2 linked regions of the Rattus norvegicus genome follow. The protein of the gene in region 1 purifies or fractionates together with the protein of each later gene. This does not show direct contact. Links are inferred from orthologs where the notes say so. Each region holds a gene or a part of one and is shown in the gene's direction. Other genes may lie near its edges. The genes, in order: Tspyl1 and Ddx24.

Region 1 (3,914 bases):
TGCCTGGCAAGTATTTAGCAGTGGAAATTCATTTCTCTGCGTGGAAAAAGCAGTGCACTGGGGAGAGGCGGGGGCATGATTTACCCAGAATTTCACGAAAATTGGGTCACAGTTTCAGAAGAGCTGATATAGATATCTGTGTTACTCTCCATCCACACTGACTTTTATGAAGCATGTAATTTTCTAACCATGTTCTTATTGGTGAATTTACCACTGTGTGATAAACACCGCGTCATATAGTTCTTATAATAATCTAAGTCGTTGACCCCTTTGCTATACTAAAATCGCCACCACTACAATAACCTTTATAGTAAAATTGTTAAATTTGCTATTTATGTTTATAGCTGGGTTACATTGTCTATGAACTTTATCGAAAGGAGTTAAACGGCCTTTTGGAAACATTTGTTATTCAGAAGGTGGCATTTGTTCTGATAAATTTGAATTTGGGGACCATGAATAACTACCTTCTTTTTCTCAAAACAGAAAGGAAATAAGTTCTTAAATATTAATTTATTTGTTCATGAGGAAAGGTGATGGGAGAAAATATGTACCAACTTGACATTAGTTATGCGTTAATGCTTATATCTTAAAGTGAAGTCACATCCTGTCCAAAGAGCCTCGGAATCAAATCTCCTGGGCTCAAATCATTGCTCTGTCATTTTTAATGTTATTTTGGTAAGAGACCCAGTTTTTCCTTGTTCAAAAAAAAATCTTAATACATCACAAGATTGTTATAAGAACTATACAGCGTGATGTGTATCACAGTGCACCCGTATAAACAATCGTTAATTATAACCACAAAACATCTCCCCAAAAAAACAGGAATTCTCAAAACCAAACCCACCGAGCTTCGTTCCCAGTAACGTCCGAGGTTAGAATAGAACTGCTTTTTTATTCTTTTTGAGCCAACGTGTATGCAGCCCAGGTTAGCCTCCAAATCAAGGAGCCTCAGCACCGGAGCACCGAGTCGCCAGGCAAGGGCCATCACACCAGGCCAGACTTCATTATTTCTTCAGTTCTGTGAAGGGGTTTGGGGGTGCCTTGGCATTCACCTTGGTTAAAAACAGACATTTTGGCTCCTAGCTTTTTCGAATATCCGGCGGTATTTTTACCTTCTCACGTCAGTGGAAAGTGGATGAACTTGTTTGCTGTGGACAGTAAGCAAAGTAAATGCTGTGCGCACACTCACAAACACACAGACACACAGACACCCAGACACACATGGCGGCAGCCGGGATGCGGGAGACGTTTCCAAAAGCCCCGCCACTGCCTTCAGTCTCCTAGGATAACTGACATTCCTTTACCGAAATAAACGTGACAATCGCAAACCGCTACGTTTACAGAAGCCAAACAAACACGGAAGCCAATCCTCGCTGAGGAACCAATCAGGTGCGCTGCCGGCTCTCGCGGTACTTGCGGCCCTGACGTCACCGCCCTAGAAACAGCGAGGGGCGGAGGTGGGGCTGCGTGGACCCTGAGGGTTTGTAAACTGAGGTCTGTGCGACCGGACCGGACATGAGCGTCCGGGAGCCGGACGAGGGGACCCCTGTGCCCGACCACCGCGGCCTCTGCGATGCTGACACTATCCCGGGGACCCCAGGCTGGCGTCCGCTGCTCGGCGAGAAGGCGGTGACAGGTGAGGGCAGCGCGGGGATCGTGGGGAGCCCAGCGCCCCGGGGTGTCGCGGGCCTTGGCCCCCAGGTGCGGGTGGCCGCAGCTAGGCAAGGAGAGACTCCGCCTGTTGTCGAGGGCCCCGCGGCGGCGGCGTTCGTGGCACCGAAAGATGCGGAGAAGGCCCTAGAAACTCGGGGAGCGGAGGCCCGGGCCCACGACGTGAAGATTGAACGGGCCACCGTCGCGGTGGCAGCGCGAGAGCAGTCAGAAGTGGCGATGCAAGGGAGTGAGGAGGTGATGGAGGTGGAGCAGAAGCCCGCGGGTGAAGAAATGGAGATGCCGGAGGCTAGTGGAGGAGCCAGGGAGGCGCAGGAGGAGGCAGGGCCTTGGCACCTGGGCATCGATCTTCGCACGAACCCGCTGGAGGCCATCCAGCTGGAACTGGACACCGTGAATGCTCAGGCCGACAGGGCCTTCCAACATCTGGAGCAGAAGTTTGGGCGGATGCGGCGACACTATCTGGAGCGAAGGAACTACATCATTCAGAATATCCCAGGCTTCTGGATGACCGCCTTCCGCAACCACCCTCAGTTGTCCGCCATGATTAGGGGTCAGGATGCAGAGATGTTAAGGTACATAACCAATCTGGAGGTGAAGGAACTGAGGCATCCTAAGACTGGCTGCAAATTCAAGTTCTTTTTCCGAAGAAACCCCTACTTCAGAAACAAGCTGATTGTCAAAGAATATGAAGTGAGATCATCCGGCCGAGTGGTGTCTCTTTCCACTCCAATCATATGGCGGAGTGGGCATGAGCCCCAGTCCTTCATTCGCAGAAACCGAGACCTCATCTGCAGCTTCTTCACCTGGTTCTCAGACCACAGCGTTCCAGAATCTGACAGGATCGCCGAGATTATCAAAGAGGACCTGTGGCCAAACCCACTGCAATACTACCTGTCTCGTGAAGGAATCCGTAGACCCCGACGTCGCCCAATAAGGGAACCAGTGGAGATTCCCAGGCCTTTTGGCTTCCAGTCAGGCTAACCTTGCTTTTGAAAATGCAGCTGGCTGGAATAAGTCCCTTCTCGCCTGTGCTTGAGCAAATGCACCGGGTACGCAGTGTTTTGATTTCTTTCCTCCTGACTTTTCAGCATCTTCTGTTTGGATAGTCTCCTCACCTCGAGATTAAGACTGTGGGCATGCTTCTGCCTTCACATGGCTCCCATGCTGTCCTGAATTAGTATCTGCCGGTTCGTGGCCCTGACTTGTACCTTTTCTAAGCTTAACAGTGAAACTTTGTATCGCACTGCCTTTACACTGTGTGGACGCTGTTTTCAGTGTTACCCATTTACTGCCACCTAGATGTCTTGCTTTATCTGGGGGCTCTTCTATTTACCTGTTCAGCACGTGGCAATGTGGGCAAAAAGTTTTCAGACAGTTGCTGGGCCTAAAGGTCATTGCAGGAGTGGGCCACCTTCTGTGTCATTTTGTGACTTTTTCTAGGCTTCATTGTGTTTGCCAGTACTCCTCACCCTCACTCTCCCACCTTTCTCCTGTTATTTTAAAGAAAAGTAGTTCAAAAACACCTGTAAGATCAGGAGTTGTAGTTCATTTATACTCAGCATTTCCTGAGAGGATGCTCTGTAAAAGAGGTCACAGAACTCTGCCTTGTCTCCTCTCTTACCCACTCCTCAGCCTGGTTAGCTAGCAAGTCCTAAAAAGCTTATATGGAGACAGAATACAGAGACAGAATTAGATGGAAACAGGTGAGCTTTTCCTAATAATGTATGGAAGAACTAAAGAGATTGTGATGGGTACCTTAAGCAGGAAAAGTGAGCTGAAAATGAAAAGGCTTAGAGTCAAAGTAAGTCAGATAAAAATTGGGCTGAGGATGAAGACAGGATGAGAGCTTTCATATTTTGGCCAGTCATTGGTGATGGGAAGAGAATTTCTCAGGAAAAATACTTTCTCTGAGTGTTGAATGTTGCCTAGACAACGCTTCTTTAAAGAAGCAGTTCACGTTTGGGTTATTTTTCTCTCTTTATATGTGATCTAATGTAAGTGAAAGGGTAATACTGTGTTCATATTTTACCAACATTTAGTAAAATGCTACTTGTTTCTACTTACTGGAGAAATTTAAACACTTTCATTTGCATTCATTTGAAACCACTTGGAAGAGCAATAGACTTAAGTGAATATTCATAACAGTTTTCAATATTAATCCAAATTCTTAGAAACAGCTTGGATAATTTGGTCTTTATCAAATGTGTCAAGTTATTGACTTATGGAAAAGTAAATATGTG
Region 2 (3,914 bases), on another chromosome or scaffold:
CTGACTTCCATAGCTGTTTAGTGCATTACCAACATTGTCAGGGTCCGCAGGAGTCCTGTACCATGTTGGTGTCCATACAAATTAAGTACCATTTTTCTGCCCAGACTTACTAGACTTGACATTGTGATCTCTGGTTGTATCCACATTCTAGCAGAAGTTCTCAGTTTTGATTTTTTTTGGGGGGTGGAGGGGTTGAACAAATACTATTCTACTCTGCTTGAGCACCACATTCCCTGAATGAATCCACTCATTGGCTGATGGCTCTGTTCATTTCTTGGCTATCTTGAAGTGTTTGATGCATGCAGGACTGTGGGTCTCTTTTCGACAGACTTCACTTGTTTTGGATATATTCCTGGTCACAGGCATACATTCTGAGCAGATGGTAGTTCTAGTTTCTCACTCTTCAGGAATTTCCATGATGGCTGTACTTAGTTACATCCCACAACGATGTGCCAGGCTTCGTTCCCTGTCCCAACAGCCCCCTAGCCAACAGTCATGTCCGTCAGCACTGGTCAGCATTCTCACTGCAGTGAGGCCATGTCTACCTGTGGCTCTAGTTTCCATTATCCTATTGACTAGAGGCTCACTGAGCATCTTTTCTTGTACCTTTTGAGAAATGCTTATTTAGGTTTATTGCCCATTTTGTTAAAAGTGTCCTTTTGCTATCGATTTCTGAATGCTTTTTCCTGCCTAGTTAACCACATTCTGATGTGTAGTTTACAGGATTTCCTTCACTCTAAGGTCCCGGAATTTGCTCTCTAGACCAGACTGGCTTCGAACTTAAGTGATCTTCCTGCCTCCCAAGTGCTGGGACTAAAGGCATGTGCCATCACTATCTGGCTCCTATTCTGTTTTCTTATTCTTGTGTATCCTCATAGCCCTTAAGAAACTTGTTAATTTAATCTAATTAATGTTTAAGCCTATTTTGTCCGGGTCTAAAAGTTGCGTTTGAGACAGGCAGTTCCATCTTGACCAGTTCTGTGAGGTAGGAAGGCACTACCGAACCGGAGAACATGGCCCTTCAATACAGGCTTGGGTGGTTTGTAAATTAGATAAAGAAATGTTTTAAGGCTCCAGGTAGTCAGTTACTCAATAACATGCTATTGCACGCAAACCAGACCAAGATTACGCGGACACTTGCGCTCCCTAGTGTCGAGGAAACAGCTCCGAAACACTGCCAAGGCCATAAACAGGAAGCGTATCCTAGGCTACGCAGGGCACCCTAGCCCAGCCCTCCAGGTTCCGGCCCAAGTCCTGTGGGAGTGCCAATCAGATAGACGCTTCCGCACAAAGGCGGGACTTCCTTCTGCAACGCGCACGCGTGCAAGGAGCCCCGCCCCGGAACTGTGCTCCGGAACTGCAGTGCAGGAGCTGCTGCAGTTCCGGGTCGGGTTGGCGCAGGCGGTCTGGCGTGTGAGGATACTGCCGCGGTGAGTGTTCTTTGTGGATCCGGAGCTGGCAGGCCTTGGCTAGCTGCGGATGTCTCCCCATTGTCTCCGAAGCATAGTGACTCACAGGTGTCTCTACAGCCTTGGTTCCCGATGGCTCACGCCTTCTCTTAAGCATCAAGGCCCAGCAACCTCCCTTGAAGTCTCTATCGGCTATAGTGCCCGTGGGACTCTTGGAAGCGGTACAGGTCACTCCCAGCGCCCTATTTCTAGTGACGTTCCCGTTCTCTCGTCAAGGTGGGTCCGAGGTGCGGTGGGGGTCGGGGGTCGCTTTGCGTCCCATACCAGAGACTGCTGGGCGATCCTTGCCTGCGAGTCAACGTGCCTCCACACAGACGCCATGTTAAGTGATTTTTGATGTACGTCACTATTTCGTATTCTTCAATGACAACCCAGGTGGGATAAATATCTCATTATCCTCAAATTGTAGTTAAGGAAACTGAGGCACAGAGATGTTCAGCAAACACTCAGAGTTGGCAAGTCCAGGATCCAGATTTGAATCGAGTTTTACCTAATGCTCTCCACAATATTCTTTTTCATATAAAGAGGGCCAATGTGAAGCCACTTTCACTCAGATGAGTCATGCATAGAGTCATGCATAACTGCCTTCCAGACTTTAAAGACAGGGTCTTGTGTAGCCAAGGCTGGCTTTGAGCTCCTGATCTTCCTACTTCCGTTTCCGAGGGCTGGATACCCACTATATACGGTTTTACACAGTGCTGGGGCTGGAACCTAGACTTCCCGGGTTTTAACCTATCTGGCGAAGGCCAGAATAGAAATGGGACTTCTCTGGTTCTACTAGGGAAGAAAGCACAGTGCACTTGTTTTAAAAAAAAAAAAAAAACCACACTCTCTCAGACTCTTACTCCGTGTTCAAAATGACTTCTGTAGTAACTAACTGGTCAAGCATCAGCCTATCTCTTCTTACTTTCAATTATTTTGTGTACAGTTTAAAATTACATATTATTAGATAGTACCACACCCCTCTCATTTAAAAAGATTATAACACTAAATTCTGAGAGGAGTAGGGAGTGTGGTTGAAGGTTGCAACAAGTTAAGTGTTGGAGCTAGGATCAGAACCAGAGTTAGCTCATGTATCTTTTTACTCTGTTGCCTGCGTCCCATCTGTTCCAAGCCCAACTACCTATTCTGTGAGTGGGTTTCATTTTCTGCATGAGAACATCTTCTCTATGCAGGGTAAACCATCTTCATGTCCTCAACTGTTTGCAGGGTTGAGTACATTTTAGGAAAGTGTGTGTTGCCCTTGAACCTGTGCTCCACAGTCACTAACCCAAAAGAGCATTTCTTTTCAGCAACCATGAAGTTGAAGGAGACAAAATCGAAGCCCAAGTCAGCAAGCCGTGGCACATTTCAGAGGAAGGGCATCAAGGTTGTGGGGAAATGGAAGCAAGTGACGATCGACCCAAATCTGTTTGCAGATGGACAGATGGATGACTTGGTGTGCTTTGAGGAACTGACAGATTACCGCTTAGTCAAGAATCCCTCCCGTTTGTTCTCAGATGAGACGACCAAGAAGAGAAAGGCCCAGGCTGTGTCTGAAGAGGAAGAAGAGGAGGAGGGAGAGTCCAGCTCCCCAAAGAAAAAGATCAAATTGAAGAAGCAGAGAGATGCAATCCTCGTTGCTGAAGGCAGCGCTGCCCAGGATGAATGTGAAGGGAAAGCTTCTGAGCCAGGGGCTCAGGGAGAAATCACTGTGTGTTCTGATCAGAAGGTAGGAGGAGCCACATCGGAAAGCCTGGCACAGACTGTTCCAAGAAAGAAGAAAAACAAAGGGAAAAAAAAATTAGACACTTTTCAGAGCACTGCCCCCAAAGTGCCCAAAAAAGCTAAGACGTGGATGCCTGAGGTGCAAGACCAGAAGGCAGACGTGTCGGCCTGGAGGGACCTGTTTGTACCCAAGGCTGTTCTCCGAGCTCTCAGCTTTCTAGGTTTCTCTGCACCCACCCCAATCCAAGCGCTGACTTTGGCCCCTGCCATCCGTGACAAACTGGACATCCTTGGAGCTGCTGAGACAGGTAAGGGATGCTCTGTCTGCCCTAGGTAGAGCTCCTGGAGCCAGCCTTTGGTTGCTCACAGGCTGGGAAACTAGGAGAGGGGATTGTTGGGAATGTGGCCACAAAAGCCACGGAAGGTGTTAGAACCATTCAGCTCTGGGCTGAAATCTGTCCTGCTTGAATCTGGTACTCCGCTCTGTTTCTGAGGCCCAAGGTGAGATGGAGGTGAGAACACTACTTTGTGTCTGCACAGCTGGACCGCGTCAGATTGAGAGTGTTCTCTCACAACTCTACCGAGAGTTTTTAAAATCAAAAATGCATGTCAGAGTTTTTACACATGTTCATATTGTATGTATTGAGGTATGTAGGTTTTTGGTTTTAGTCTGCTGATAAAGCAAATTACATTGATTTCCAAAAGTGAGAACCAGACTTTCCTCACACATAGTGAGCT

Evidence for each region.
Region 2: the proteins of Tspyl1 (region 1) and Ddx24 purify together in Homo sapiens (affinity purification with mass spectrometry; 3 studies listed by BioGRID and IntAct, counting the BioPlex papers as one, with this or other methods). This does not show direct contact. The link is inferred for Rattus norvegicus from reciprocal best matches to the Homo sapiens genes TSPYL1 and DDX24.

What each region holds. Positions count from the first base shown.
Region 1 is NC_086038.1:39,635,551-39,639,464, forward strand, and holds the start of Tspyl1 (testis-specific Y-encoded-like protein 1), read left to right. Parts: upstream 1-1,484; 5' UTR 1,485-1,515; coding exon 1,516-2,655; 3' UTR 2,656-3,914.
Region 2 is NC_086024.1:128,344,186-128,348,099, reverse strand, and holds the start of Ddx24 (ATP-dependent RNA helicase DDX24), read left to right. Parts: upstream 1-1,384; 5' UTR 1,385-1,430; exon of another isoform or gene 1,431-1,844; intron 1,845-2,761; 5' UTR 2,762-2,766; coding exon 2,767-3,484; intron 3,485-3,914. UniProt on the Homo sapiens protein: ATP-dependent RNA helicase that plays a role in various aspects of RNA metabolism including pre-mRNA splicing and is thereby involved in different biological processes such as cell cycle regulation or innate immunity.